Linked DNA regions of Danio rerio. The protein of the gene in region 1 purifies or fractionates together with the protein of each later gene. This does not show direct contact. Links are inferred from orthologs where the notes say so. Each region holds a gene or a part of one and is shown in the gene's direction. Other genes may lie near its edges. The genes, in order: aar2, ttc27, eftud2, prpf6, snrnp200, zgc:103692 and ptges3a.

Region 1 (3,820 bases):
TATTATTATTAAATAAAATCAGCTTGAAGCTTGAATTAAATCGTAAATCAAATCGCAATCACAATGTCTGTCAAAAAAATTGCAATTAGATATTTTCCCCAAATTGCGCAACCCTACCTCAATCTATTTATTTTCTGCAGATATGGCGGGAACAGACATGGACCCTGAAGTGGCCCGAGGGTTGTTTGAAGAAGGCGCCACGCTGGTTTTGCTTGGAGTTCCTGAGGGAACCGAACTGGGACTCGACTACAAAACATGGACTTTGGGTCCTCGTTTCCGCGGGGTGAAGATGATTCCCCCGGGGCTTCACTTCCTCCACTACTGCTCCGTCAGCACCAATGGAGGCTGTGGGGAAATCAGCCCCAAAACTGGCCTGTTCCTGTCCCTGAAGCCTCGGCAGGTGCTTGTAGCGCACTGGAACAAGAGCGCAGATGATTTGGAGATCTCTCAGAACTCGGAGGAGGTGGAGCGCGTACGGGGCAATCTGAAAGAGCTGGACCGGTATTTAGGGCCGTACCCCTATGATACCCTCCGCAAGTGGGTTTCTCTCACTGACAGACTCAGTCAGGAGGTGGCCGTGGCCCTGCAGCCCCTCAGCGGACGCGTGTGCGCTTTCAGCGATGTCATCCCGGAGCTGCAGCTGACTCACACTAAAGATCGGGTCCAGCAGAACCTGTCCCGCAATGATCAGGAGTGCCAGAGTATGAAGGAGGGCCTGGACCGGCTGCCGCGGATGAAGCAGAGGGAAGGCACAGAGCTGCGGTTTTCCAGCATCCCCAAGCAGGCATATCCTCCTGGGGCAACACCCGCTCAGATCACCCAGTACAGCATGGACCGCAGTTACATTCTCAACGCGGTACTGGAGAGACATTATAAAGAGCAGCCACTCAATGTACTTGGTGAGGATTAGTTTACTATTCAAATATCAGTATAAGACTACTATCCAAATATCGGTATAAGACTACTATCCAAATATCGGTATAAGACTACTATCCAAATATCAGTGTAAGACTACTATCCAAATATCAGTATAAGACTATTATCAAAATATCGGTATAAGACTACTATCCAAATATCGGTATAAGACTACTATCCAAATATCAGTGTAAGACTACTATCCAAATATCAGTATAAGACTACTATCCAAATATCGGTATAAGACTACTATCCAAATATCAGTGTAAGACTACTATCCAAATATCAGTATAAGACTACTATCCAAATATCAGTGTAAGACTACTATCCAAATATCAGTATAAGACTACTATCCAAATATCGGTATAAGACTACTATCCAAATATCAGTATTAGACTACTATCCAAATATCGGTATAAGACTACTATCCAAATATCGGTATAAGACTACTATCCAAATATCAGTATAAGACTACTATCCAAATATCGGTTTAAGACTACTATCTAAATATCGGTATAAGGCTACTATCCAAATATCGGCATAAGACTACTATCCAAATATTAGTATAAGACGACTATCTAAATATCGGTATAAGACTACTGTCCAAATATCGGTATGAGATTACTATCTAAATATCGGTATAAGACTACTATCCAAATATCGGTGTAAGACTACTATCTAAATATCGGTATAAGACTACTATCCAAATATCAGTTTAAGACTACTATCTAAATATTGGTATAAGACTACTATCCAAATATCGGTTTAAGACTACTATCTAAATATTGGTATAAGACTACTATCTAAATATCGGAATAAGGCTACTATCTAAATATTGGTATAAGACTACTATCCAAATATCGGAATAAGGCTACTATCTAAATATTGGTATAAGACTACTATCCAAATATCGGTATAAGACTACTACCCAAATATTGGTATAAGACTGCTATCCAAATATTGGTAAAAGACTACTATTGGTATAAGACTACTATCTAAATATCGGTATAAGACTACTATCTAAATATCGGTATAAGACTACTATACAAATATTGGTAAAAGACTACTATTGGTATAAGACTACTATCTAAATATCGGTATAAGACTACTATACAAATATTGGTAAAAGACTACTATTGGTATAAGACTATTATCTAAATATCGGTATAAGACTACTATACAAATATCAGTATAAGAGTACTATCCAAATATCAGTTTAAGATTCTGATGGTATGATAACCTTGGATATAATATCACAGTATTGTGATTACTGCTCTAAAATAAATTCTTTTTTTGCTGTGATTATCTTCACTCATCAGAGTGGCAGGGCTATTTACACATCCATATTGTTGGATTTATTGCTATCATTATTTTATTAATGAGGTACAAAATCAGTCTATATATTCTTAATTAATTTGGCCTAATAATGCATAATTTTAATAATGCATCATGCCATGTTTAAACCGTATATGCTGCAGGTGTCTTGCCTTGGCAATAAAGCTTGTATAGTCTATCAGTGGAAAATAATGGTGCGTTTATTGTGATATGAATCAATCTAATATCAGTCACCATGATTTTTAAGTGACTTTCTGTGAGAACAACTTGAATTGCAAAAATGTTTAATTCAGATGCATCGTTTCATAGTTGTTGTTTTTTTTATCAACACTTTGCATTTTAACACACCTATTGAGACCAGCTTTACACACATTCATTAAGTTATTAAATTCAGTTGTTAATTACTGTAGTAAAAAGCTAAATAATAAAAGATTTGTGTCACTCTTGTAGGAGAGCTGCAGTTTGCGTTCGTCTGCTTCCTGGTTGGAAACGTCTACGAGGCCTTCGAGCACTGGAAAAGCCTGCTGGCTCTGCTGTGCCGCTCTGAGGAGGCCATGAAGGACAGGAAGGAGCTTTATCTTGGCCTCATTGCTGTCCTCTACCATCAGCTAGGAGAAATCCCTCCAGACTTCTTCGTGGACATCGTGTCTCAAAGCAACTTCCTCACCTCCACACTTCAGGTATTATTCACACAGTTCTCTGAGCTTAAATAATTGACAAAAGTAGAATAGGATCAGTTTTTCAGGTTATACTAAAGTCAACTTAAAGTCATATTTATTAATATGCTTTCTTGATAGGTTATTGTGCACGATTCACCAATGATCAGTCACAGAACAAAAAAAAAGAACTTGATTCCTCTTCTGAAACAGTTTTTCAATTTGGTTTTTATGAGCTATTTATATGGAACAAAATCAATGCCAAAAGTATTGAAATAAAAAGCTTTTCGAATAGCACTAACTGAAAAAAATACAGTGAATTAACAACTGCTTGCATTTTAGTGACTTGAATTTCCAGGATTTGTAATTTTAGGTTTTGAAATTGAACACAGTTCTTTATTTAAGCTGTGAACATTTCAATTCAAAACACGATTTCATGCTTAAAGGGCCATGAAACCCTCCTGATTCAGCAGGGTGTTTTCACACCTCTAGTTTGAAAAAAGTCAAGAAAGTGGGCATGTCCAGCTCTGTTTAGGGGGAGTGTCGGAGGAGGGAAAGAGGGAAGGTGCATAAAAATTTGCATAAAAATGGGAGTTTCGTTTTGGGCATGCACTGATTTTCACAGAGGCAAAACAAACACAGACGCAAGAGACAAAGACAGTGACTGTTTACATGGAGATCAGTAATCAAATTATTAAATGGTGGATTTTAACTGCAATTTGGCTCTTTCATTCAAGAACATTTTGACAAATGAGATATGTGATTTGAGGAACTGCTGGAAGCGTTTATTTTTAATGCAGTGTTTGTTACTGCACGGTGAATGAAAAAAAAAAATCCTTCGCATTTCTCTGTAACTTAAATGCACTTGGTAGATAGCATCAGAAAGCCGTGTGTGTTATTTCTGTCACAAAATG
Region 2 (4,368 bases), on another chromosome or scaffold:
CGATATAGGTGAATGGGGTATATGCACACAGACTTTCAGTCAGCCAGCCTCAGGGCTTTCGGTTAATTGTCATCCCATTCAAAATAGTTGTGTTTAAGATATGATTTCTTCAAAAGAGAGAAATCTGTATTTTCTTCACTGCCTGGCTGAGATATGATATAAAGTGGGTCTCAGACCAAACAAGAAGCACTACTTTCAATTATATATATTTTTCCGCGTCATGTCTTTAAAATATGAAAATTAATTTTACCCCAGTATTTTCATTGGAGTTTCTGTGCTAGCCTGCTGCTGATGACAGCGCCTGTGTTTAAACAGTTTTTCGTCTCTTTTTATGCTTTAACAACTAAATGAATGCTTGAGTCTATTTAACTGATTATATTTGAACTAATTTACAACATTGATGCTATAAAAGGAACCTTTTGAAATTGAAAACACTCACATAAAGCTTTCACTGGAAGTTCATAATTGGCGGTGGAAAAAAATAAATTGCTGGGTTTTTTCCAGCACTGTGGGTTCCGGATATAGCTTTAATAGCTTTCTCTCACTGCTGGCTTCTAGCTGGAAAGGCATCCTCCTCATTAAACATTTGCCAGAGTAATTGGTGGTTCATTCCACTATGGCAACCCCTGATAAATCAGGGACTAACCTGAAGGTGAGTAAGAGATGTAGCTGTGCTAATTAATATTCAAATTCAACTACAAATTATTTTACACACTGTCATATACTTTTATGTTTCCTATTATGTTTGTAATTAGTTCCATAATTTAGACTATATTATATTATTGTAGGGCAACACGGTGTCGCAATGGGTAACACAATCGTCTCACAGCAAGAAGGTCGCTGATTTGAGCCCCGGCTGGGTCAGTTGGCGTTTCTGTGTGGAGTTGGCATGTTCTTCTGTGTTGGCATGGATTTCCACCGGGTGCTTCAGTTTCCCCCGCAGTCCAAAGACATATAGCTGAATTGGCTAAGCTAAATTGGCCATAGTGTATGTGAGTGTGTGCAAGAGTGTGTGGGTGTTTCCCAGTGTTGGGTTGCGGCTGGAAGGGCATCTGCTGTGTAAAACATGTGGCGGTTCATTCCGCTGTGGCGACCCCAGATTAATAAGGAACTAAGACGAGAAGAAAATGAATGAATGAATATATTATTTATTATTTATTTTTTATTTGACATTAGCATATTGTTTGATGTGGCCGACACGTCGGTGACTTGTTCAAGAACAACGCTTTATTGTTATCACATTCATTAACCTAATAGAAGTAAGAAAAAAGAAAAGACGATAAAACTGAAGATAGATAATCTGCTTTTACAATAAGCTGTTTATCAACAGTGAATTTACGTTGCGCTCATTTGCGCGTCTGGTCAAATCTCGACGCTCCCTTAGCGCTGGCTTATTAAGTATCCCATAATGCACCTCGTCGCTGTCATGGCTGCTCACTGATGACACTTGCGGCACATGGGCAGAAATCTAACACATTACAGTGAACACACGAACCTCAACACGAGTCTCACACTCACACAGAGAGCAGGTCCTGAGCGACGCGACGCTGTTTCATTCTCCGCGGAACCGGGCACACAAGGAGCGCGATGCTGCAGCTCGAGGCGGCGGTTCTGGGCGGATTGAGTCTGGACTGGAAACAGAGCAGCTTCAGCACCGCAGGTGAGAGACAACGGCATGAGAGCCCTGAGTTTGGGAAATCGGCCGACTTTCAGTTGAACGCGGCGGTTATGACAGATGTTGATGCTGTCGTGCAGCTGTGGAGGATTTCAGGGCTTGAATCTGCTCGGTTCTTGTTGTGGATGATGAGTGTTGCGCGTGCAGTCTGTCTCTCACGTGGTGTAGATGTGCCGCATGTGTGTTGAAATCGGGACTGTGTCCAGACAGACCGAAAGACAGACAGATGTGAGTTTCCGCTGACCGTGAACTAACCGGGCGCGATTTGACAGCAGAACTTCTGTGTTTGATAACTGACCGTATGGAGGGTCAGTGTGGGCATCGGACATCATGAGGACAGACAGACAGACGCGTGTTTATCTATTCTGTTCATGTTGAGGTGAGAGAAAATTTAGTCTACTGTTTTAGAACAAAGCTGGGCTGCACCTGCATGTAAACACCCGACTGTGTTATTTCTAGTGGGCGTTCACTCAGGATGCGTTTATGACAACGGTGAAGGAGCGCAACACACCGTGAGATGATTGTTATTTATTACTATTATTATTTATTGTTATCATTATTAATTTATACCGAACATAAATAGTGTCATGATTTACAAAATTAAAATAGTCATTTACCGGTTGCTAAAGCCTAATGCGGATATGGGACGGAAAACCGTATTAAATAGTCGGACAGCGGTTCTTGCTCTTCTCTTACAGCTACAGATTCCACAGCGCGAAACATTCAGCAAAATCAAGTTCAAGTCTGGAGCACTGGACTGTAATGTCAGTCCAGTCTGTTTATAAAATCAGAACCGATCGCTCGTGTAGCTCGATTCCGAAAGCATAACGAGTTAATTTTAAATTACTAAAATCCTCGGAAACATACAATTCAATTTGACATTCCTAGTTCGATTCCTGAACAGAAGAGTCTTAAGAGTCGATTCTTTTTTGTAAATCAAGCAAGCACTTGATCCGTTCAGGGCAAATGAATCTTTTATTTGGTTCATTATAACACATGGAAATAAAATGTTTATAATGTTTTCTGATTCACTAAGGTAGTGTGCTTTATGAACAAAGGGATCTTTTTTTGTGAAGCAAATCAATTAAATAGTTTTTTTGGATTTCTATTCAATTAACCGTTTTAGTCATTTTTTAAGCGAATCTAAATGTAGCGAAGTCGAATATATTTAGTACAACAATTCTGTATTAAAAAGTGATTCTTTTAGTAAATTTGGAGGTTAAGTGTAATTTTGACGTTTGAGTTCAGATTTATTATGGAAATTCATAAATGATTTGGAGTGGATTCTTTTATTGAAGTAGTCTGGTACCTTAATAAATGACTCTTCTGAGTGGATTTTTTTTTAATGGAATAAAATTCAGGCAGGTAATAGTTTTATTACTGAATATTTCAATAGTATTAAAAGATAATTTTTTTAAATTGACTTATGCAAATTTTCAATGGGCCTATTACAGTTTCCGAACAAGTTATTTCAGCTTAATCTTAATATTTTGCTCAATTACAGTTGCGATTTCAATTTAATGTATTGTTCTTTCCTAATTAATAGCTGATCCTTCTAGTGATTCAATGCGCATACTATCTATCCTGAGTAGTATTTGAAAATAGAATTAGTATGTCTCAAACCATAGTAGGTTGAAAAGAGTATGCCAAAGTTTCCCAGATAGTTTACTATTTTCGGTTACAATTTTAAGTGTAGAAGAGTCCATACTCTTAATTGCTAATATTGCCCACAATACATTGCATGTTAGATAGGAATTGGATTAAAACTACAAACGTGGTTCAAAAGTGTAAATAAAACTACAAATATGGTTGATGCACAAAACCTACCGTTACTTTATTTGACTCACTTACTGAAATGTTCATCATTGTTAAAGCTTGACTCTGAATTGATCAAATTCAGGCAGGCAATGTAGTTTTTGTACTGAACATTTCAAGAGTATTAAGAGATCATTTTACAGTGCAGTTCCTTAACAAATGAAGCATTTAGATGCAAAAACCCAATGAGCATTTTTATTAGGCTCTTGTGTGTATGTTTAGTAATACCACTTTTATGGCAAAGAATATGTAATTTTCCTGATTTTTAAAATGAAATATCTTAACATAAACAAAGAAAGCTGAGAAAAATGTTCATTTTTGATTAAAATTTCAGACGGTGCTTAAAGGTTTTTGCATCTGAACTCTTTAATGGACTCTTTTGAATCTGTTAATTTATGTTGAGCCCAAACATTGAGCATGACAGTCTGATTCCTGAACGCACTGTATGATTTGGTTGAAACTGCAACACTATTAACCAGTTAATAATCATTCGGGATGTTTACTTTATTTGACTTGCTTACTGAAATGATCATCATTGTTAAAGCTTGACTTGAATTATCCAAGGTCAGCAACCATATCATTGATGGTCTGAGGTTGTTGGCTCATAAAATGTATTTAGATTAGGCTACTACTTTTGATTACATGTGTAGTCTACAATCCATGACACTGATAGTTTGAGATGTGACATATTGGCCAACATGCAGTTAAAATGAAACGCCAGAATGCATCTTAGTGTGAATTGCCCTATTAGTCATTATTGAAGGATGTTGTTACCTTGCTTCTAATTTCATGCATTATCCATCTCCTCTCCCTCAGTTTAATGTGCCGTAAGTGGCGTGACAAACAACAGATGTTTTATGTAGTGTAACTGTTCACTT
Region 3 (3,861 bases), on another chromosome or scaffold:
CATTGTATTTATAGATCATAAATAAATAGGGTAAGATTTTTGTCAGACTGTTATGCATACATTTAGTTTATTATAGTTTTAGTAGTTACGTTATTTTGGCTGTAGTTACACTGCACAGTTCAAGTGACTCAGTCTGGATTTTTTTTTTCCTCCCATGTGGCGCAGATGGGATATGGTCCACGTATGTGTAAGCAGGAAAAAATCACATGGATTCCAATTTACTTGAATCAGATTCAGGCCTTGTTCATATGTGGAAAATTTATCCGTGCCTTCATGTCTGCTGTGTAAACAGGTAGATCGGAGTTTCAACTGTCAATGCGAGTCGCCCGTCATTAAAAACCATAACGTATTACGTCAAGTCTGACACTTTTCTTTCAGAACAGACTTCAGCAGTCGCAAACCTTAAATCTCATACACGAGTACTAAAAAAGCTTTTATATTGTTTTGTAGCACAAGAATTTAAGTATGTTAATGAGAGAAAGTGAGCGAGTGCAATATCTGCCACGTAACCAATATAAACTAATATAAAACTGTGGTATACATCTCATGCAAGACATTACATTAAGATGCCTACTGGTTTAAAAAGACCTAGATTAAACGAAGATGGCCAAATGAGAACTTTTTTGTCATAAACGATAGTAAAAGAACTTGTCAAAAAGAATTTAACAATATTAAAAAGTCCTGTCAACAGATTAACTACAGGAACGGAGTAAAGAGCGTTCTTTTTTTTTCCCCAGTTCATTGCGCCTTCACCATGTGCTGTGTAAATGCAGACAATCAGATACGAGTCACTTGTAAAAGATGATGTAAGCTGTTTAACAAAAAAAAGTGATACAGTCACAAATTTATCGACCATCAATATGTGCAGTATAAATGCAGCCTTTGAAGGAAATGTATGTATACAACTGGGGTTTGCTTGTTTTGACATTGTTTAAAATAAAAACAATTTAACAATTTACTAATTAGACTCATTTTTATGATTGGGGAAAAAATAGAAACAATCTTTAATGTTTGTCTTAGCATAAGTCTGAAGTTTATTTCATAATGGTCTTAAAGGGGTGGTCCAGAATGTTATTTTTAAGGCTTGGTTGTGTTAATAAGATGCAAAGCAATGTGTGCTCATGTTTAACTTGAAGGAAATCGTGTTATTTTTTCATAAATCTCACTTTGATTATACACAGCTACTCAGCTAACATGAAAACGACTGTCATATTTCCTAGTTTCTCTAAAAGGCCCACCCTCAAGTGACTCTGATTGGTCATCATCATAATATGCTGTGATTCGCCGATCGGCTCCACGTCACGCCCTGACAAGCACGCGCGTTTTTGTGTAAACAGTCAGTCAGTCAGTCAGTCAACACGTGTCTGTAACGAGTGAAAATGGGATGCGGCTCCTTTAACTGTTTCTGTGCCTTTTAGTGTGTTTATGCGTGTATACGATGAAGTATCTGTAACACGAGAAGCGCATGTGCGCGGGAGAGATTTTTATTGTTCTTTTTCTCTCATGCTCGGATTAAGTTATTTTCTGTGGTGACAGAATAAAGCACAAGATGTGAGATGAGACCTTTGTGAGCCTGGATTGATTTGTTTTTGATGTTACACTCCAGTTGGGAAATCATTGCTGTATTTTTTTTAAATCAACGCGTTACAGAACGTCTTTCATGCATATGCGGAATATGCCTGTGTAAGTAACATGAATCGTTCACATATCTTTTGCGACTTTATTGTCCGAGTTGTAAAACGCATAGCATAGCTGCCTATAGAGAGAAACTCTGCCGTCTCCCACAGAGAGACGCAGGTGCTGGCCAAGAGAGCGTGTATGTGTATGTGTGTGTGTGCGTTTACAGCCGTTTGATAAATATAGATTTGTAACGTTAGCTAAGTCGTTAGCGGTTACCATAATTTCCCGTTGTTTACATCTTTGCTACAACACACCGTTAAAGTTAGACACTGTACATGTCATGATCAATTTTAACAAATAAAAACACTTACAGGTCATGACTCAGAGTTCACAGCGTCTCCTTGCTCCATCTTTGAGGAGATTTTAACTGAATCCAGCACTGAACTGGGAGAGATTCTGGAAGCTGTGTTTTGTCAAATCATGCTTGCTATGTATTTTATAGTTCTCTGGAACATAATTAATATTGAACTGTAAGCACTTCTGTGTTTGGGTCGTGTCATTTGGAAGCCCAACAACAGAAACAGAACAGCTATGTGGAAACAGCAGGATGGCATTTCTCCCTCTGCAGTAACGTTACAGCGCCTCTGGCCACGGCCTTTACCTGCGCAGTGTGGGATGCGCAATAACGAACTTTTGTGATCTCACAGGGGGCGGAAGTATTTTTTGTAGTCCCCAAAATTCGTTAATTGTAGGCGTTGCTAAGCTAACTCTGTACAAATCAAGGTCTCCCTTTGCATTAAACTTTGAATATTTTACATTTAGAGATGCTGTTTATGTTCACACAGCTACATTACACATCAACTGAAGTTTAAAATATAATATCGTAGTGGACCACCCCTTTAAATAGTCTTTAATTTGACTCCGCTAACCCTTTAAGAATCTGTAGTATTGTGAAATATTAATATAAAATAGTAATAAAAATAATAAAATAGATTTTTTTCTAAAACGTTTTAGCAGTCATCATTAATCCAGTTTATTGGTGCTTAAGAAATATTTTATATCAATCTTGAATACCGTTTTAATTTTATTTCAGTCGACCATGATGCATTTATTTCAGGATACTTTGATGAATAGAAAGCTCCAAAACAGCAATTTTTTTAAATGGAGTTTTGGTCAGTGTAATGATAAATCAGTTTCCTTTTTCACTTAAAATGTTACTTAAAAAAAATAAAAAAATTTGAGAGGTGTATATTTTAAAAGAAATTGGCACAAATAAATGTAAATTTAAATGTAAATGTAAAAAAGTTTTTGTATTGTGGATGCCACTGTAGTTCTTACGGGTGAATATTAATAAATAACTGTTTATAACTGATTATTCTGATTATTTGACTTGTTAAATAACTGATCATGCATCCACTGCGTAAAACATATGCTGTAATAATTGGCGGTTCATTCCGCTGTGGCAACTTCTAAAAAATAAGAGACTAACCAAGAAGAAAATGAATGCATAACTGATTATTTGAATGCTGTGCAAAACTGGGAGAGACAGTGTGTAAAACTATAAATTCTAACTAATGTTAAATGATTTCTTTGTCTCTCCGGGTGAATTATCCAATCACTGAATTTTGCCATGTAAAATGTTTGCTTTCTTGTCGAAGGGTCCACTGATGTGCCACACCACTAAGATGTACAGCACAGATGACGGCGTTCAGTTCCACGCGTTTGGTCGGGTCCTAAGTGGAACCCTGCAGGCAGGTCAGCCCGTGAAGGTTCTGGGAGAAAACTACAGTCTGGAGGACGAGGAGGATTCTCAGATCTGCACTGTGGGACGCCTGTGGATTTCTGTCGCCAGGTGAAACTCACACTAATTTAGTCTGTTTGCTTGGAATATATCTGACTCCATTTACTGAAAAAGGAAATAGTCATCATTATCAATTTCTGTCCAATAAACTGTTTTATAGCTTGGAATATCTAGATTTAAAGACATTTTTTAAGTATTCCACAAATTATATAATATTTAGACATTTGAGTCTAGAAATAAACTTTAAAAATTAGGATTTTTTGAAGAGTTGTTAAATGAGGAGTCCTGTTAAACATTATTGCAGTACTTTCTTTGGCTAATTTAAAATACACGTGCAAGTATCAATCAAAACACTATTGTGCAGTTATGAATCTGCACAAAGTTGCCAATTCAAAATGCTGTGAAATATTTTGGATTAAAAAAAAAAAAGATTTCTGACA
Region 4 (4,614 bases), about 2.9 Mb from region 1:
CAGGAGTCTCCAACTTATCCAGCATATGTTTTACGCAGCAGATGCCCTTCCAGTATTAGAAAAAACCCATACACTCTTGCATTCACACATATACACATACTTATTCAATTTACCAATACCCCATGTCTTTGGAGTGTGGGGGAAACCAGAGCACCCACAGAAACGCGAACGGGAGAACATGCAAACTCCACACAGAGAAATACCAACTGACCCAGCCATGGCTTGAAACAGCAACCTTGCTGTCGAACCAATTTAAACAAACAACTTAAATTTAGTAGTCACAAGTGTCTTCTGTTGAACATTGATTCATTAATGTTCTTTTTGGCTTAGTCCCTTTATTAATCTGGAATTGCCACAGCAGAATGAACCGCCATCTCATACAGCATTTGTTTTACGCAGCGGATGCACCCGGAGCAAACACGGGGAGAACATGCAAACTCCACACAGAAATGCCAACTGACCAAGCCGAGGCTTGAACTAGCGACCTTTTTGCTGTGGTGCGACAGCACTACCTAGTCCGCCACCGCATCACCCTCTTCTGTTGAACACAGAAATGTAATTTTAAATGCTGTAAATCAAGAAACCCCTGATTTCAGTTTTTAACATTGTTTGAAATATATTTGTGTGTGTGTGTGTGTGTGTGTGTGTGTGTGTTCAACAGAAAAAAGTAAACTCCTAAAATTTGGAACCACTTGAGGTTAAGAAAGTATATCAGTGAACTAACTTATCCCTTTAAAATGAAAGAGAAAGAAAGACTGCGGTTCACTCACAATTTGTCTTATTTTCCCCTTTCATGTCACGTAATTCAACCCCAACAGTAAGCACAAAGAAAAGAAAAGGTAATTTCCAGAGAGGCTTATAATTTCACTTATAATTTTTTCTTCTTTTTCTCTTTGCCATTTCTTTTCCTTTCCTTATAGCTATTTTAATGTTAAACTTAATTATTACCACAATTATTAGTTACATTTGCCTCATTCCAGCTATTTCTAATTATATATTTTGCTTCCTCTGTACATTTGTCAATATATCTTTGGTTATTTTCCAGCATTAAAACTTTTTTTCCGTTGTTGTGTGTAGTTGTATTTAATGACAGAAAATGTTCTGGTTTGGTGTTGAATATCTTATATTTAAACTCAAAATTAAAAATTCAGTTTTCTTGTCAAGATATTTTTTAGATTTTCAACAATAATAACAAAACTTTGGAGCAAAAATTGTTTATTAATTTAATGATAATATGCAGTATGTGAAGTACCATGTACACAAACAAAAATGGTCCAATGATAAGCCTAATATTCATTTGTTTAAAATTAAATTAAATTTAAATAGAAACCCTAAAAGACACAAAAAATATAAAAAAGCTATAAGAATGTATGCAATTTTGAAATCCTTTTCTTATACAATTTTTTTGTAATTTCTATATCCCCTGTAATTTTATTTTTTATTATTTTTTTTCTCTACTGAGTTGTTCCTTTGATGTAAAAAACATGTAAACATTGTATTCCTCATTTTTGTATATAATAATTTAAAAAATAAATAAATAAAAGGTAAATTTAGGTTAAGCTACTTCACTCTGCCAATCCTGTGAGGGCGCTGTTTTTGGCATCGACAGGTTCCAAAAGAAGACTTTTATGTTGCAGGAAACGCGACAGTGTTGTTCCGGAAGTGGAGCGTGTTGTCGTCAACGCATCGATGGCGAGCTCCGCAGCGAAACAACCCCCCAAAAATGCAAGCAAAGCCCCGTCCGGAGGGGCCGGCGGGGCTGCGGCGGGAGCAGCGGCAATGCCGCTCGCTTCTCCGCTCATGGGAGGCTTGAACAAGAAAAAGAAGCCGTTTCTCGGCATGCCTGCACCGCTGGGTTACGTACCCGGTCTGGGCAGAGGGTGAGATCCATACATTCAATATATACAGGCGGCAAAACAACACAACACGTGTTATTATTTATATTAGCATTAACTTACCTGACATTCCGACATCTATATAAATTTGTAAACATTATCATGTCTAGCTGATGTGTTGAGGCTGCCATAATTTTAGCTTGTGTGTAACGTAACTTAATATAATGTGTTCTGTCTTGATATTTTTTGACGTATTTTGACGTAATTGTGTTATTTTTTCACACATTATAATGTTTCATTATAATAATTTAATACATTATAATAATACAAATATAATGTACAAATACATTATAATAATACATTATAATAAACTTGTCACTACACTGATAATTTTATGCTATAATAATAATGCAGCAAAACATTAATATAAAATATTGTTTTAGTTTACAGTCATTGTTTCATAACATTAGATATACTGTAAAATATATAGATTGAGATCAAATTGATTTTATATTCACACTGAAATTGTTCCGAGGCGACTTGTGACATAGAGGTAAAGTTAGTTTTATATTGGGATATTGAGACATTCTCCTTAATAATACAATGTCAGAAAAGTATGTTTTGCAAATTCTAAATAGTGAAATCATATTAGCAGCAAATGACTATTAAAGTACAGTATTGTTTACAGTTAGATAGTGCTAATGTTGTTTACAAGTCATACTTGCATGCTAATTCCGATCCAATATTCAAAGTAACATTGTAAACAATATAGAGACTGCTAAATGAACAAATGTGCGAATATAAATCCAACTTTACCTCCATACTTGTGACATGCTCCCTGTATTTTTTACCATGGTACATTGAATATTGGGTCTAAAATCATATGTAAGTATGACTTCAAAACAGCATTAGCACTGTTTGTTTGACCATGAGCAATGTTGTACTTTGATAGTTATTGACTGCTAATATGATCTTACTGTTTAGTATTTGCAAAGAATACTTTTCTGAAATTATGTTAAAGACAAATTCCGAATGTATGGATCTAAAACCAATTTTACCTCAATAATTTAAAGTTTAGTCCTATGTAGGCGCACAATTTTGTATGTAGGTACAATTTTGGTTTTATATTCACAAATTCACACTTTTCCCTTCTTAATATAAGTTCAGTAGTGTATTCTTTGCACATTCTAATTAAGGGGATCATATTAGCAGCCAATGGCTATTTAAAAAGTAGAACATTGTTCACAGTCAATTGACCTTATTCTAAGATGCGAAAGTGCGCCTGTTTTTGCGATTGTCTTAGAACTTCCGATTCAGTCGCCTATGGGAGAAATGACTAGGAATAATAAACGGCAGAAAATGGCCAAACTACTTGCTCAACAAACAAATGTTTGCATGACTACACAAACCAAGTAGCATAATATAATAAGAAAATAATAAATAGTACTACTGTTGTTTGCATGTGATTTCAGACTGAATATTCAAAGTAGCAGTAAACCATATTGGGGCTTCGTCACAAATTGTCACTGTACAAAAATGAGTGAATGTGTGAATATAAAACCAACTTTACCCCAATAGCCATTAGTGTGATTTACAGTATCATGAAGGTGTTGTGGGGAAGTTTTCTGTAATAGCGTAATAACAAAAATGAGTCTACAGTTTCTAATTTCCTAGCTTCAATCTATATCAATGTTTGGAGTACATCAAATGTTTCAATCCTCAGTTCACCCAAAAATGTAAATTTCCTCTCAATCAAGTGGTTCTAACCGTTTATGAATTACTTCTGTTGACACAAAACAAGATACATTGAATAATTTGGAAATCAGGAGCTATTGATATCCATAGTTGAATCAAAAATACTATGGAAGTCAATAGAGTATATGCCGAAGCATGTTAATAGGACTTTTAATTTGCCAGTAAACTGGGTTAAGCGCTTACGGCGAATTGAATGTCAATGCAAAATCCGGTGCGTTTAAGGTTTGTTTTCTTTAAAAATCAGAGATCTCCACTAGCTGAGTGATATCCGATTTAAAGTGGGTCTCAGATTGTACAAGAAGCACTTCATTAAATTACATTTCCCCCGTCATATGTTTATAATATGAGCATTTATTTTACCCCAGTATATTCAATGTAGCTTCTCCCCTAGCCTGCCGATTCTGACGGGCGCGTGCGAGTAAACAGCTTTTTGTCTCGTTTTACGCTTGAGCAACTAAATAAATGCTAAAGTTTATTTAACTGAATGTATTTTAATGACATTGCAACATCGATGCTGTATAAGGAACCGTATAAAATGGAAAAAAGTTCACAATAACAGGTCACCGGAAGTGTATCAGCATGGGAACAGCACTAGCTCGGCATATACCCTATTGCTGCTTTTTTCCAGCATTCTTCAGAATAACTTGAACAGAAAAAAGAAACTCAGATTTGGAACAAGTGGAGAATCAGTAAATGATGACAGAATTTTTATTTTTGGGATCAATTTTTAGGGTTTTATAAACTTTTGTTAACGCCTTGGGAACATCAATAATCAGGAAGTAGTTGGATTTTTTACAAAAGTTGCCTGTGACAGCAGCAATCTGAATATTTAATATGTAACAGCATTCAAACGCTTAATAATAATGAATCATTATTCACTATTTGCTGAAATGCCCACATTGTAAATATACATGTTCATTATGTCAATATGTGGTTTCAGCATTGGCATCGACTCATCAGCAATAGTCATATCGCAGAATCTGCAATGTTGATTTGGGATTATATAGTTTAGGATTATAAATAT
Region 5 (3,673 bases), on another chromosome or scaffold:
AGAAAGGATATTTGCTGCTCATTTATTGTTGTTGTTGCTCTGTCATAATAGGGATAATGTTATTTTTATCAATGATAAACAAACATGACTGCTGCTTATCTTTGAATAGGAAGTTCAAAACAACAAAATTAATTTGAAGTTTCAGTAATAACTTTCGGTAACATAATAAATATCTGTGCTGTCACTTTTCATCGGTTTAATGCAGCGATGCTAAAAAGAAAAATTCATTAAAAAAATTCTTGCCCCAAACCTTTGAAAGTATACCACTATTTTCACATCAGTAACAGAAAATGAAGAAACAAAAAAAAATGTAGAACATATTAGACATCTTAAAAAAAAAACTAAAGATTTTTGTTTATTTCAAACATTTGACCAGAAATCTTTATTTTTATCAGACAAAAGATGCCATATAGTTTTATTTTTAAATTAGGCATACAGTCAGGGTGCACATAAGAGGTCTGTATGCACAATATAAATTACGTTTGGCAATCAAATATGGCACTAGAGAAGTGCTTTTGCAGACCACTTTAAGTAATGTAAAATCAGTAATTGTATATTTGTAATATAAATAAATGTGTTAACTTCCGACCGCAGAAGCCTTCTAGCTGCTCTTCATCTCAAACACAGTCATCTTCCCCCCGCACATCATCTCAAACATCATTCCTTTTTTTTTGTTATGTTGACGTTCATATATTCAGTGTTTCTAAAGTTCTGGTGTTTGTCTTCAGGCGGTGCGTCTGATCCAGGCGTGTGTGGACGTGCTCTCCAGTAACGGCTGGTTGAGTCCAGCACTGGCTGCTATGGAGTTGGCACAGATGGTCACGCAAGCCATGTGGTCCAAAGACTCGTACCTCAGACAGCTGCCACACTTCACCTCTGAACTCATCAAGCGCTGCACAGACAAGGTAGACTCTTTAAAGAGATAATTCACCCAAAAAAATCTAAAAGTCTGTGTCATTTACTCACCCTCATGTGGTTCTGAATTTTTTTTTTCTTTTTAACACTAAACAAGATACACTCAAAAATGACTTTTTCTGCTTGTTCAGATTACTTATTTAAAATGAATCGTTTCATGTTTAATCCACTTAAATTTGTAAAAACGATTACCGTAATCGATTTGAGTTGGGACAACATGAAGAACTTGTGTAGAACCATACCTGTCAACATTGGGATGTGAAAATAAGGGATAACAATAATAAGGGATACCCCCTCTCCTTAAAGTCCCTAAATAAATAAATATGTTCATCTGTTGCTGTTTTAATGTAAATTAACATTTAAATTGGTATATTTTATTATTATTATTTACAAAATAAATAAATAGTTTGCATTAACAGCAAATAAATTAACAAACATCTTATTAAAATTAATAGCTGTTATAAATAAATAAAATCAAGTTATAAAATCTCAATCTTTTGTTGACTGTATAACTTACTCATTCTGATAAAAGAACACTGAATGAATCTCATTTATTTAGATTTTTTGTTTGATTACATCAATTAACAGGTGTCACTGTAAAAAATGCACACATCTAACATTAAAATAAAAGCATTCGATTACTTGCTTTATATGCTCATTTAGGACTAAATGAATTGTAATTGAAAAGAAAACCCCGCCATCATCGACATTATTGGATGTTATTATTATTATTATGTGTATATATCTGTTCAAACACGCACTCAAAACCCAGACTTTTGCCCCGTTTCAAACCGCGTGTACAGAATCTGTTTGCGAAACAATGTCTCTTTTTCACTAGGAAGCATGTCAGTTGACAGTCACACACTGCTATATGAATGTTTTGAGGGTGCATAGAAGCGATGGCCCCTGTAATGAAAAGAAAAGGGAATCCCGCTGTTTTTATATTTATTTCAGTGTTTGCATGCCTAAATAAGATGAAAGCACAGAAGAGTCACATTTAAGAGCAAAGCGCCACCCCTGGTGGTTTGGCGGTATGGTTTTGTGTGACTGTCTATGTTTTGTTGATGTGTGTGTGTGTCTGTAGGGTGTGGAGAGTATCTTTGATATCATGGAGATGGAGGATGAGGATCGCACTGGACTCCTTCAGCTCTCGGATGTCCAGGTGGCAGATGTGGCTCGTTTCTGTAACCGATACCCCAACATTGAGCTCTCGTATGAAGTGGTTGACAAAGACGACATCAAGAGGTGCAAACTCTTTCTTTTGAAGATGCTTAATATAGTGTGGTTGTACGAAACACAGAATTTTTTCCATAATCAGCTGGAGGTGTGAATGAGTGTTCTTGTGTTTGCAGTGGGAGTCCAGTAGTGGTGCAGGTGCAGCTGGAGAGAGAAGAGGAGGTCACAGGCCCCGTCATCGCCCCTCTCTTCCCTCAGGTCAGTGTCTGTCGGGATATTGAAATAATTATGAACAATACAGCATTTAATAATCATAGTTTAACATTTACTAATGCATTATCAACATCCAAACTCATGCTTATTAACATTAGTTAATGCATCATGAGTTAACATGAACTAAAAATAAACAACCATTTTTTCGTTAACAAACAATGAACATTGCACTTATAACAGTATTTGTTCATGTTAATAAATGCATTAATTAACACAACCTTATTGTAAAGTGTTGCCCAATGAACATGAGTTAAATAATATCTTGTCCGTTTGTGCAGAAACGTGAAGAAGGCTGGTGGGTTGTAATCGGTGACCCCAAATCAAACAGTTTGATCTCAATCAAGAGGTTAACTCTGCAGCAGAAGGCCAAGGTCAGTCCTGCTCCTCTATCCAAAAGCAGCAGAATATACATTCTCACACGTTATTTTAGACTTTCTAAATGTACCATTTAAAACTTTCTTCAACTACAGCGTGCTCTCTCTCTCTCCACAGGTGAAGCTGGACTTTGTGGCTCCTGTGGTCGGTGTGCACAACTACACCCTGTACTTCATGAGCGACGCTTACATGGGCTGCGATCAGGAGTACAAGTTCAGCACAGAAGTGAAGGAGGCTGACAGTGAAGGAGACAGTGACAGTGATTAAGCCCACAGTAGACGGACGGTTTGAGCCCATTAACTTTTTTTTTTTATAAATATTTTTGGAGGAATAACGTGACTGTTAAGTTCATTGTGATTTGAATAAAGATGTACATTGGAGAGTTGTCGCAATGATGTTTTATTAAAAAGTTAACAAAACAAATTCAAGTACATTATCGGTAAAAAGAACTGCATCATGAAAAAAGATTGACTTTTATTTTTCCTCATGTTATTCCATAACTTTTCTAACCTTATTTCCAGTGGACAGATATAAAATGAGAGCGCTTTTACATTTTGTCTCTCTGCATTAGTCATTTTTTGTTTAGTAAAGTTATCGTAAAAAATGTGATGCCATTTCTTTCCAAATCCAAATTTAAAATCACAGTGTTCTTATTTTCCACAATACCCATGTTTTAACTTGGAATAACCTTGATTTTTCAGTCACAACAAATAAATAAAGACCTTTATAAAATGAAACAAATATTACAATTTTACTGAAACACATGCGTAGTGAATCCACAGGATTTTTCCCCAGAGACAAAAAAAAATCATCGGCATTTCGGCATGACATGAGGATTAGTAAATGACAGACTTAACATTTGATAAATCAGATGTGTGGATTGAGTGCGCTGGTCAGCGAGGAGTCTCCAAACACATCAGCGTATGAAGCTTTA
Region 6 (4,638 bases), on another chromosome or scaffold:
TGTTGTGGGTATTTTCATGAATAACAATCTATAAATAAAATTAAGAAAAAGATACAATTGAAATAAAGTATTTTATCGTTTTTTGAGTCTAAAAATATTTAAGTGCAGTAACTGAATGATAAAAACTAAAGTAGTTAAGGTCACAAGTTGTACAATTTCTTATACCTGAATGCTTTTAAAATCATTATACAATCACAGGCATCAAAAACAAACTCAACATAGCATAGATCCTGCTATGTGACTATTGTGTAATACTGATCATGATATCGATGCTGAAGCAATATATTGTGCAGCCCTGATCTAAAATATCTTACTTTGTATTCTGAAAATGAATAAAGGTCTTGTGGAGTTTGGAACAACATGAGGTTGAATAATAATCCTTTCTTTTTATTTTATTTCTGGGGTAAACAAACCCTTTAAGAATGTCTGGTACAGCTCTGAGACTGCGCAGCACCAATACAGTAAATAACATTGATTTTTAAAAATCTTTCTCCAAAATTAACAAAAATCAAAAAGTCAGAAACCATAAACTTTCATTAATATGAAATGATGACAAAATTATTTGATAAACTGTCCCCATAAGAACCTTACACTCTCATTACCAGTGAGAATTATAAATAAAAATCTGCCCTCATTGAATAGATATTAACGGAAATATATACCATATTATATAATATTTTTTTTATAAGTATAAAAATTTAAAAATATTTATAGAGTATTGAGGATGGTATCTATCTAGCATATCTGCTCAATGTGTGTTATGTTTCTGCCTAGAACTGTTAAGAGGCCAAAATTGCTGTTTCATTCGCCTAGTCAGTTGATGGGAAAAAAAAACATTCGTCCCGTACCAACACCTCCATTACAGCAAGGGAAATATACAATAATTGATATAAAAAAACATGATTCTATGAATCAAATTTTCACTAGAAAACTAACTTCAACTGAAGTCCGAAACGACGCAGAAAACAATCGCGTTAATATGAATGTAATGCAAACAATTCATCTGAATTAAAACATAATATCTAAAACAAAACAAATAGTTTTTCCTCTTCGTCTTCGGTGTTTATTATGTTCATAAACACACAGCAGTCCTCAAATACGTCACGGTGAACCACCTAAAAGCTGTTTAACATCACGATCTTGCAGAATAAACAGGCCATATTTCCACTCGGTCTGCAAGACACTATTCATACGCTGAGTCGACATGATGTTATCATATCAAACAACAGTGACAGTCCGATTTAGCAAAAGGAAAGACAGAAACAGATATTTACCTGTCATACAGAAACAAAAATATCGCTCATAGATAGTCATTTTAGGCCAATCGGAGGTGTTTGTAACAGTGGTGGGAAGCAGTGTAACGTTACTACTAAGCAGCATCCATACTGAATACAGCAGAAGCGTGCGTCACGGCTTTGACCACAGCCAATGAGCGCATTTCGTTCTTTAGCATGATCAAATAATTTTTTATTTACTTCGATTATAAAATACACATACTGCTTGTTTTACACGTTCATTTATCGTATAGAGTGTTTATTATTAAATTTACGCCGTTTTTGTTTTGTTTTTCTGTATCGTGTCATAGAAGCAGCTGATCTAGAACCAGTCTCATCATTCCGCTTTTCGCCGTTCAACGGCTGTACAAAAAACAGGCAAGCTGATCTGAGATCAACTGTTAAGACGACAAATGTGATGCCAGCGAGCGGAAGTTTCTAGAGAATGAGGTCCGTCACTAAACATAGACCGCCACCGTTGCGTACAGACGGACGAGGGGTAACGTAACGCTTATCAGTAAATAATTCGACGAGTTTTAAAAACAAGTCATGCCACCAGGTAAAAATTTTAGAAGAAGGAAAGAGGATTCATCCGACGAGGAAGATGATGAAACAAAATTCGTAGTCAGGTAGATATATTCAACACATTCAGGCCAAACAAAGTAAACACAGCTGTTGTAAACCGCTTGGTAAAACGAGCAGAAAAGATTAATGCAGCTGACTTGTTTAGTTTGTACATGCATTCAGAGAGGACAGAAACCTATTGAATGTGAAAAACTATTTAAAGATGTTACTTTTATTATATGTTTACCCAGGTCAAAACTGGATGAAGCCAAGGAGCTACAGAGTCTGCGAAAAAGGCAGCATGGAGTGAGGTTGGTCATGAGCTGCTTTGTGGTTGTTACTGTTGGTGGTGTTTACATTTTTCTTTCTTTTCATTGTGTAATTAAAGTGAGAATAATAAATGCTATTTTCCATTCTGTTTGTCCAGCATTGCAACGTTACTTGTTGGAGAGAAGCTTCCTTTAGAGGCTGAGCTTGAGGTGTTTTATTATTTTAATCAAACTACATTTTGCACTACAATACAAGCCTTGCAGTGTAACTTTGTTCTTCTCTATGAGCTAATAGAGGTTTGACATTTTGTCCCTCCATGTTTATGTCATAGGATGACCCATTTAAACTGAAGACTGGAGGTGTTGTTGACATGAAGAAAGTGAAAGACAGAAGCAGAGACATGTAAGAATTAAGTAAACATGTTAGCTTTTCATTTCAAGATGTCTCTATATTTGCATCTTGACACTTCCTCTTTTGTTACAGGACAGTGGATGAAAATGACCTCAATCTTGGTACATCCTTTTCTGCCGAGACAAACAGAAGAGATGAAGATGCTGACATGTAAGTGCATGCTTCTACATCACATACTCTCTGCATTGCTGGTTTTGTCACTATGTTTAAAGCCTCTCCCATCATGCATCTCATTTCACGCAGGATGAAGTACATTGAGACAGAGTTAAAGAAAAAGAAAGGCATGGTGGAGGCAGAGGAGCAGAAGGTAAAGGTGAAGAATCCAGAGGACCTCCTGTATGAGCTTCCAGAGAACATCAACGTCAGCTCTGCCAAAAAGACAGAAGAGATGTTGTCCAATCAGATGCTGAGCGGAATTCCAGAGGTGGATCTGGGGATTGAGTGAGTAAAGACACAAGCTAATTCATGGACATCAGTTATTGTTTTCTCTAGACTGGTGGCTCAGAACAAACAAATGATTGATGTCAACCTAAAAGCCTCTTTTCTCTCTTTCTTCTCAGCGCAAAGATAAAGAATATCATCAACACAGAAGAAGCCAAAGCAAAGCTGCTAGCTGAGCAGAGGAATAAGAAGAAAGACAGCGGGACCTCCTTTGTTCCCACAAACATTGCGGTCAATTACGTCCAGCATAATCGCTGTAAGTGTACACACAAACAACTGTTTGTTCAAACGTTTGTCAGTAAGATGTTTTTAAGTCTCTTATGCTCACATTTAAGGGATAGTTCATTTTTTTTCATTTGTTCTCCTTCATGTGGTTTTAAACAGTTATTAGTTTCTTTCTTTTGTTGAACCCAAAAGAAGATGTTTTGAAGAAAACTGATTGCTGGAATCCATCATCGTCAATGGCTTCTTTGTGTTTTGGTTTTGAACAAGTGAAGGCTGATTTAAATGATGGCAGAATTAAAAAACTTTTGAGTAGAAGTATCCCTTTAAAAATGTAATCTTGTGAAATATTTTTGCAGTCTGTAATTGCACTCATTTTCTTTTTTTCATAATCAGGTTTTTAAGATTATAAAAAAATGTTGTAAATTGTTCATTGTAAAGCTGAATTGTTCAGCAAACATTAGTCCAGTTCTTCACAATTCTTTCTAATACGATGATTTGGTGCCTAATTTACACATTTATCTTTCAATATTAAAAAAAACGGAAATTAATGTAAATTTCAAAAGCAGAGCATTTACTTAAAATACATTTTGTAACAAAACTGTACAAAGAAAAGGCCAATGATTGATTTCTCAAAATTGTTCACTAACCATATCTGTTTTCAAGTGTAAGCTTTTATCAACAGCTCTGTCTATGCCTAACAAATAAGTAAACAGTAAAATGTGAACCATATTTAAAACATTTGCTATCCCAAAGAAGAAAGATTAAGTCATCATCTGTTCTATTTTGTCAAGTCTACCATGAGGATTCAAACGCGCCCCAAAGACGCAACAGAGAAGAGCCTAAAGCCAGGCCATTGCGTGTAGGAGACACAGAGAAACCAGCACCTGAGGGTAAGATCAGATTGAAAACCTCTTCAGCTTTTATGCCCTGCTGTTTTTAATGTATTCATGTTCATATGATTTGGTGTATTTTTTTCGGTCTCCAGCCTCACCACCCAATTTCCGCAAGAGACCCAATAACGAGAAGGCCACAGATGACTACCACTATGAGAAATTTAAGAAAATGAACCGACGATATTAATCCTTCACTAATAATTCAGTTACCATGATGGAGTTTGTTTTTCCTTTCTGTAAACTGAAAGATGTAAATACTTTGTACTATATTTAAAAAAATGTCTCTGCTAAATATCTGTAACTTACGATAAGCTTTTTACAATAAAACTTCACCCAAATTGTTGGTAGTTTTTTGAAAATATTTTATAACAGAAAAACTTTTAGTTGCATAAATTTAGCGCATTGTTCAATTTCATAATTATATAATGATTGTAGAACAGTTCCACATAAATGCTCAATCACTGCATATGTATGAAACTTTATTCTTATTAAACGGTTATTCTACAGGATTTGATAATGAAATACTGTAACCTCTGTTACACTAACAGCATATTACCTTT
Region 7 (4,543 bases), about 26 Mb from region 1:
TCACTATTATTGTTACAAAACTCTACTAAAGTATTCATATTATTAGTATAATTTGTATTATTTACTTATTTCATTTGTTTTCTGCAGTTCTTTAAGTGTTGTCTATTTATTAGACAGACAGACAGACAGACAGACAGACAGACAGACAGACAGACAGATAGATAGATAGATAGATAGATAGATAGATAGATAGATAGATAGATAGATAGATATTAATAATAATATATTAATAATTATAATAATAAAAATAGCACATTCATCCATCTATATACCTTAACTGTTAAAAATCCGCAGACAACAACCAAAAATTATAAGTTTTTATAAATATTATTATTATTATTAGTAGTAGTAGTATTAATAATAATAATAATAATGTTGATTGTTGTTGTTTTGTTTATAGCAATAATTATTGTCATTATGGCATTGCTATTATTGTAAATAATGTGTCATGGTTATTTTATTATTATTATTAATATTATTATTATTATTAATAATAATAATAATTATTATTATTATAATAATCATCATCATCATAATGATAATAATTCATTCATTCATTCATTCATTCATTCATTTTCTTTTCGGCTCAGTCCCTTTATTAATCTGGGGTCGCCACAGTGGAATGAACCGTCAACTTATCCAGCTTATGTTTTAAGCAGTGGATGCCCTTCCAGCTGCAACCCATCACTGGGAAACATCCATACACTCCCATTCACACACATACACTACAGACAGTTTTAGCTTACTCAGCCAAGATCACATGTCTATGGACATGTGGGGGAAACTGAGGCTCCCGGAGGAAACCCATGCGAATACAGGGAGAACATGCAAACTCCACATACTCCACTGACCCAGCCGTGGCTTGAACCAGCAACCTTTTTGCTGTGAGGCGATTGTGCTGCCCACTGTACCACCATGCTGCCAATAATAATAATAATAATAATAAATAATAATAAATAATAATGATAAATTATTATTACTATTATTATTAATATTACAAATTTTTCATAATTTGTTGTTTTATTATTACAATTATTATTATTATCATCACTATTAATATAACAAATGTCTACTAAAGTATTAATATTATTGGTATCATTTGTATTATTACCTTATTTCGTTTGTTATCTGCAGTTCTTTAAGTGTTGCCTTTATCAGACTGACAGATATTTGTATTTATTTATTAATATTTAATTAAATGCTTTTTATAAAATACATGTGAATGCACATGCACTTCATTCATTTCGCCTAGTGTAGTACGCCTGAGGATCCTGACAAAACAATTTCATTCTGACTCAAGAAAAAGTATGACGTATGATTTGTGTGGCCCTGCATCAGTGGACGTCCTGTACTGTACTGTCAAGGCGGAGCGAGCAGGGGAGCGAGCACTGCGTTACTATGGAGACGTGTTTGCTTAGGGAACGCGCATGGCTGGGGGCGCGCAGCAGAAGTCGCTAGAAACGTTGAGCTGATGCGTCACTGCGCGCCAGTGTGTAGAGACACGCGCACTCCTTGTGCAGGTTGACAGCGGCGCATAAACAGCTATAGCTTCCGTCTGTATGCCTTCACTGTGATCTGACAGCACAAATCCAAAACACTACCCCAGGCGAGAGGACGCGAGAGGAGACGCAGATTTGGGTGAACACTGAAAGGAGAATTCGACATGTGAGTCTGACCGGCAGTCATAGGGATGCACTAACTTTAGCTAGTTAGCAAATGTGTGCATAACCTTTATCAGCGAAACACCAGATTCTCTCTCATACGCCAACTATCATGTATGAACATTTAGGACAATACGAATCTTCCTCGTGAAGAAGCTTAGAATTTGTGTAGAAAAACGTCTAGTGGTAATTGGTGGTGGAAATAGCACACATTGTCCCCACAGCAGAGCTTAGCTAGCTGGTTAGCAGCTAGATAGTTAGGCCTGGGGTTACTGCAAGCTACTATGGCATGATTCTATTCTGTTCATCTATTCATGCTTCATATGCATTATTGTAGAATGTACAAGCAATATATGTGTCATATAAATCAACCTTTTACAGATCAAGGCTTGCAGGCTGGGTGTTCCCTATTGGAAAAGAACATGCTTAAGTCATGTTTGCTGTTTGAACGGGTTTAAGAAGGTATTAATGCCAGTTTATGCTGGTCTTCCATGCTGGAGATCAGTTGGGTGGCTATTTGGCCAACTGAAGGGGTTTAGTTTGTCATCCCAGCTTTACACGACAGGTTTGTGAGATGGTTTTGAGTACTTTCCTTCAGGTCATGCTGGTTAACAGTCTACAGGCTAAACCAGCAGAGCAAGGCTGAAAGGTTTTCAGCTGCGATCAATGATACACCATCTTTTTAAATGCATGTATGGACATGATAAATGCTAAAATTAAAAAATATGAACCAAATCTCCTTTATAAATAATATAGTAATATAATAATAAATGTTCAGCATCTTGTGGTTTCTGAATGATCACGTAAAACACTGAACCCTGGAGTAATGATGCTGAAAATTAATCTTAGAAGGGATAGTTCACGCAAACATTTTCATTTACTCACCCTTTAATTGTTTCAGACATTTGAGTTCCTTCTGTTAGACACAAAAGATTTTTTAAAGAAAGCTGGAAACCTGTAACCATTGACTTCTTGTGCTTTTTTTCCTACAATGGAGGTTAATAATTATAGTTCTTTAAAACATCTTTTGTGTTTAACAAAAGAAAAATACTTAAAGGTTTAACCACATAAGGGAGAGAAAATGGTGCGAATTCTAAATATTTGGGTGAATTATTCCAAGAATCAAAGTTATAAAGTTACTTTTTAAAGCCTTAAAATTAAAAAGTTACTTAGAATGACTGTTTTATTGTATCCTATACAGGGTATCCACAAGGTCTTAAAAAGTCTTAAATCTCAAAAATTTTAATTTAGGCCTCAAATAGTCCCAAATCAACTGAAATATTGTGTTGTATGTCTTAAATCTTTTTTAACATTCTTAATTTTCCTCTGTTCATGTATAGCTTCCCAATCTGGCCATTAACACTCATACAATCACCAACAATCTCAACAAAACTTTTCATTTAGAAATTGCATTTTGAACTAATTTACCATCATTGTTTAATTACTTTCCTTACAGTAATTGTTTTTAAAAAGTTCGCCCATTTATTTACTGCTGAGGATACTGACCACCTGACCTATATTTGTTATTATTAAATTATTATTATTATTGTATTATTAAATGTATTAAATTCTAATTATTTTTGAGAGGGCAAGTGAAAAAATTTTCCAACTGGGATATTCGAAAAAAAAAAATCCTTAGCATTTAGCTTTAAGTCTAAAATTTCCTTCATGATAAAAAGGTCTTTAAAAGTCTTACATTTAACCTAATGAAACCTACAGAAACCCTGCTTATAACTACAGCAATAAAAATAAACTCCAGATTTAAATAGGAGTTATTGTGCAGCCCTTTATTACAGAGGCCTGGTTTTGCTATAATTGTATTACATGGGTTAAGCCTTAGGTAGATTGTTAAGAAGCCATGCATGATCCTGCCAATTGATACAAATAGGTTGCCACGGTAACGTCATTGTTGCTCCACCCCCGCCAGGACCTCCTGCCCGCACATGTTAATTTAGAGCTGCACTTTTAGTGTGGAGTTTGACTTTTAACAAATGCACTTAGCTGGTTGCTCAGTTCCTCATGGATTCCATTAGAATTAAGTGATATTGTGTTTTTGAATGTCATATTAAAGTGGAGTTAGACTGAAGCCTTTTCTAAAACATTGCTTTTCATTTTTTGTTTTGCAGGCAGCCAGCTACTGCCAAGTGGTATGACAGACGGGAAGCTGTCTTCATCGAGTTTTGTATAGAAGACAGCAAAGATGTCCAAGTTAAATTTGACAAAACAAAGCTTGATTTCAGGTACATCCTTGTTTTAAGTTGTTAATAGTAGGCCTGAGTGATTTTGGAAACATTTTACATTGCATTTTTTTCTCTGCGATGTATATTGCGATATAAATTCAATTTCACCAGATGACAGTTATAGCTCTATCTGCAAAATCTTTAGTTTAGTGTGATTGGGATGATTGTGTAGGGGTGTGAAATATAAATATATATTTTAAATGTAATTTATTATATACATATAATAAACAAACTACATTCATATATCAACACAATGGTGCAAAAATGAAAGTAAATTAAACCATGTTTTCTGGAGAGAATCTAACAGTATTCAGGTACAGAAATTAAATAAATGTAAAATGTCAAATGTAAAATAACATTGCATAGTCTTCATTATACAAGTAATTTAATAAAAATAACCTTTATTAAACTTCTTTATGCACAACTAAAATGCTTTAAACGTAAAATGCTCACATAGTCTTTTTGGGTTGCAGCTGGAAGGGCATCCGCTGCGTAAAAACGTGCTGGATAAGTTGGCGGTTCATTCAGCTGTGGCGACCTCAGATTAATAAAGGGACTAAGCCGAAAAGAAAATGAATGAATGAATGCTCACATAGTCACAGGCCTTAAAAACACATGCAGATGATAAACTTTCACTCTATT

Evidence for each region.
Region 2: the proteins of aar2 (region 1) and ttc27 purify together in Homo sapiens (affinity purification with mass spectrometry; 3 studies listed by BioGRID and IntAct, with this or other methods). This does not show direct contact. The link is inferred for Danio rerio from reciprocal best matches to the Homo sapiens genes AAR2 and TTC27.
Region 3: the proteins of aar2 (region 1) and eftud2 purify together in Homo sapiens (affinity purification with mass spectrometry; 5 studies listed by BioGRID and IntAct, counting the BioPlex papers as one, with this or other methods). This does not show direct contact. The link is inferred for Danio rerio from reciprocal best matches to the Homo sapiens genes AAR2 and EFTUD2.
Region 4: the proteins of aar2 (region 1) and prpf6 purify together in Homo sapiens (affinity purification with mass spectrometry; 3 studies listed by BioGRID and IntAct, with this or other methods). This does not show direct contact. The link is inferred for Danio rerio from reciprocal best matches to the Homo sapiens genes AAR2 and PRPF6.
Region 5: the proteins of aar2 (region 1) and snrnp200 purify together in Homo sapiens (affinity purification with mass spectrometry; 5 studies listed by BioGRID and IntAct, counting the BioPlex papers as one, with this or other methods). This does not show direct contact. The link is inferred for Danio rerio from reciprocal best matches to the Homo sapiens genes AAR2 and SNRNP200.
Region 6: the proteins of aar2 (region 1) and zgc:103692 purify together in Homo sapiens (affinity purification with mass spectrometry; 3 studies listed by BioGRID and IntAct, with this or other methods). This does not show direct contact. The link is inferred for Danio rerio from reciprocal best matches to the Homo sapiens genes AAR2 and C9orf78.
Region 7: the proteins of aar2 (region 1) and ptges3a purify together in Homo sapiens (affinity purification with mass spectrometry; 3 studies listed by BioGRID and IntAct, with this or other methods). This does not show direct contact. The link is inferred for Danio rerio from reciprocal best matches to the Homo sapiens genes AAR2 and PTGES3.

The regions. Positions count from the first base shown.
Region 1 is NC_133198.1:4,218,127-4,221,946, reverse strand, and holds part of aar2 (protein AAR2 homolog), read left to right. Parts: intron 1-140; 5' UTR 141-142; coding exon 143-899; intron 900-2,700; coding exon 2,701-2,930; intron 2,931-3,820. UniProt on the Homo sapiens protein: Component of the U5 snRNP complex that is required for spliceosome assembly and for pre-mRNA splicing.
Region 2 is NC_133192.1:24,118,616-24,122,983, forward strand, and holds the start of ttc27 (tetratricopeptide repeat protein 27), read left to right. Parts: upstream 1-1,420; 5' UTR 1,421-1,587; coding exon of another isoform or gene 1,588-1,660; 5' UTR 1,661-2,054; intron 2,055-4,368.
Region 3 is NC_133178.1:15,072,977-15,076,837, reverse strand, and holds part of eftud2 (116 kDa U5 small nuclear ribonucleoprotein component), read left to right. Parts: intron 1-3,278; coding exon 3,279-3,472; intron 3,473-3,861. UniProt on the Homo sapiens protein: Required for pre-mRNA splicing as component of the spliceosome, including pre-catalytic, catalytic and post-catalytic spliceosomal complexes. Component of the U5 snRNP and the U4/U6-U5 tri-snRNP complex, a building block of the spliceosome.
Region 4 is NC_133198.1:7,086,714-7,091,327, reverse strand, and holds the start of prpf6 (pre-mRNA-processing factor 6), read left to right. Parts: upstream 1-1,640; 5' UTR 1,641-1,689; coding exon 1,690-1,880; intron 1,881-4,614. UniProt on the Homo sapiens protein: Involved in pre-mRNA splicing as component of the U4/U6-U5 tri-snRNP complex, one of the building blocks of the spliceosome.
Region 5 is NC_133183.1:33,096,838-33,100,510, reverse strand, and holds the end of snrnp200 (U5 small nuclear ribonucleoprotein 200 kDa helicase), read left to right. Parts: intron 1-728; coding exon 729-905; intron 906-1,999; coding exon 2,000-2,160; intron 2,161-2,267; coding exon 2,268-2,349; intron 2,350-2,642; coding exon 2,643-2,735; intron 2,736-2,856; coding exon 2,857-3,006; downstream 3,007-3,673. Other genes in the region: odf2b (outer dense fiber protein 2b), read right to left, coding at 3,607-3,673. UniProt on the Homo sapiens protein: Catalyzes the ATP-dependent unwinding of U4/U6 RNA duplices, an essential step in the assembly of a catalytically active spliceosome. Plays a role in pre-mRNA splicing as a core component of precatalytic, catalytic and postcatalytic spliceosomal complexes.
Region 6 is NC_133180.1:33,916,912-33,921,549, reverse strand, and holds zgc:103692 (telomere length and silencing protein 1 homolog), read left to right. Parts: upstream 1-1,738; 5' UTR 1,739-1,823; coding exon 1,824-1,903; intron 1,904-2,089; coding exon 2,090-2,149; intron 2,150-2,265; coding exon 2,266-2,317; intron 2,318-2,439; coding exon 2,440-2,510; intron 2,511-2,591; coding exon 2,592-2,669; intron 2,670-2,762; coding exon 2,763-2,960; intron 2,961-3,079; coding exon 3,080-3,216; intron 3,217-3,976; coding exon 3,977-4,075; intron 4,076-4,170; coding exon 4,171-4,265; 3' UTR 4,266-4,416; downstream 4,417-4,638. UniProt on the Homo sapiens protein: Plays a role in pre-mRNA splicing by promoting usage of the upstream 3'-splice site at alternative NAGNAG splice sites; these are sites featuring alternative acceptor motifs separated by only a few nucleotides. May also modulate exon inclusion events.
Region 7 is NC_133198.1:29,970,395-29,974,937, forward strand, and holds the start of ptges3a (prostaglandin E synthase 3), read left to right. Parts: upstream 1-1,493; 5' UTR 1,494-1,663; coding exon 1,664-1,665; intron 1,666-3,787; coding exon 3,788-3,901; intron 3,902-4,543. UniProt on the Homo sapiens protein: Cytosolic prostaglandin synthase that catalyzes the oxidoreduction of prostaglandin endoperoxide H2 (PGH2) to prostaglandin E2 (PGE2).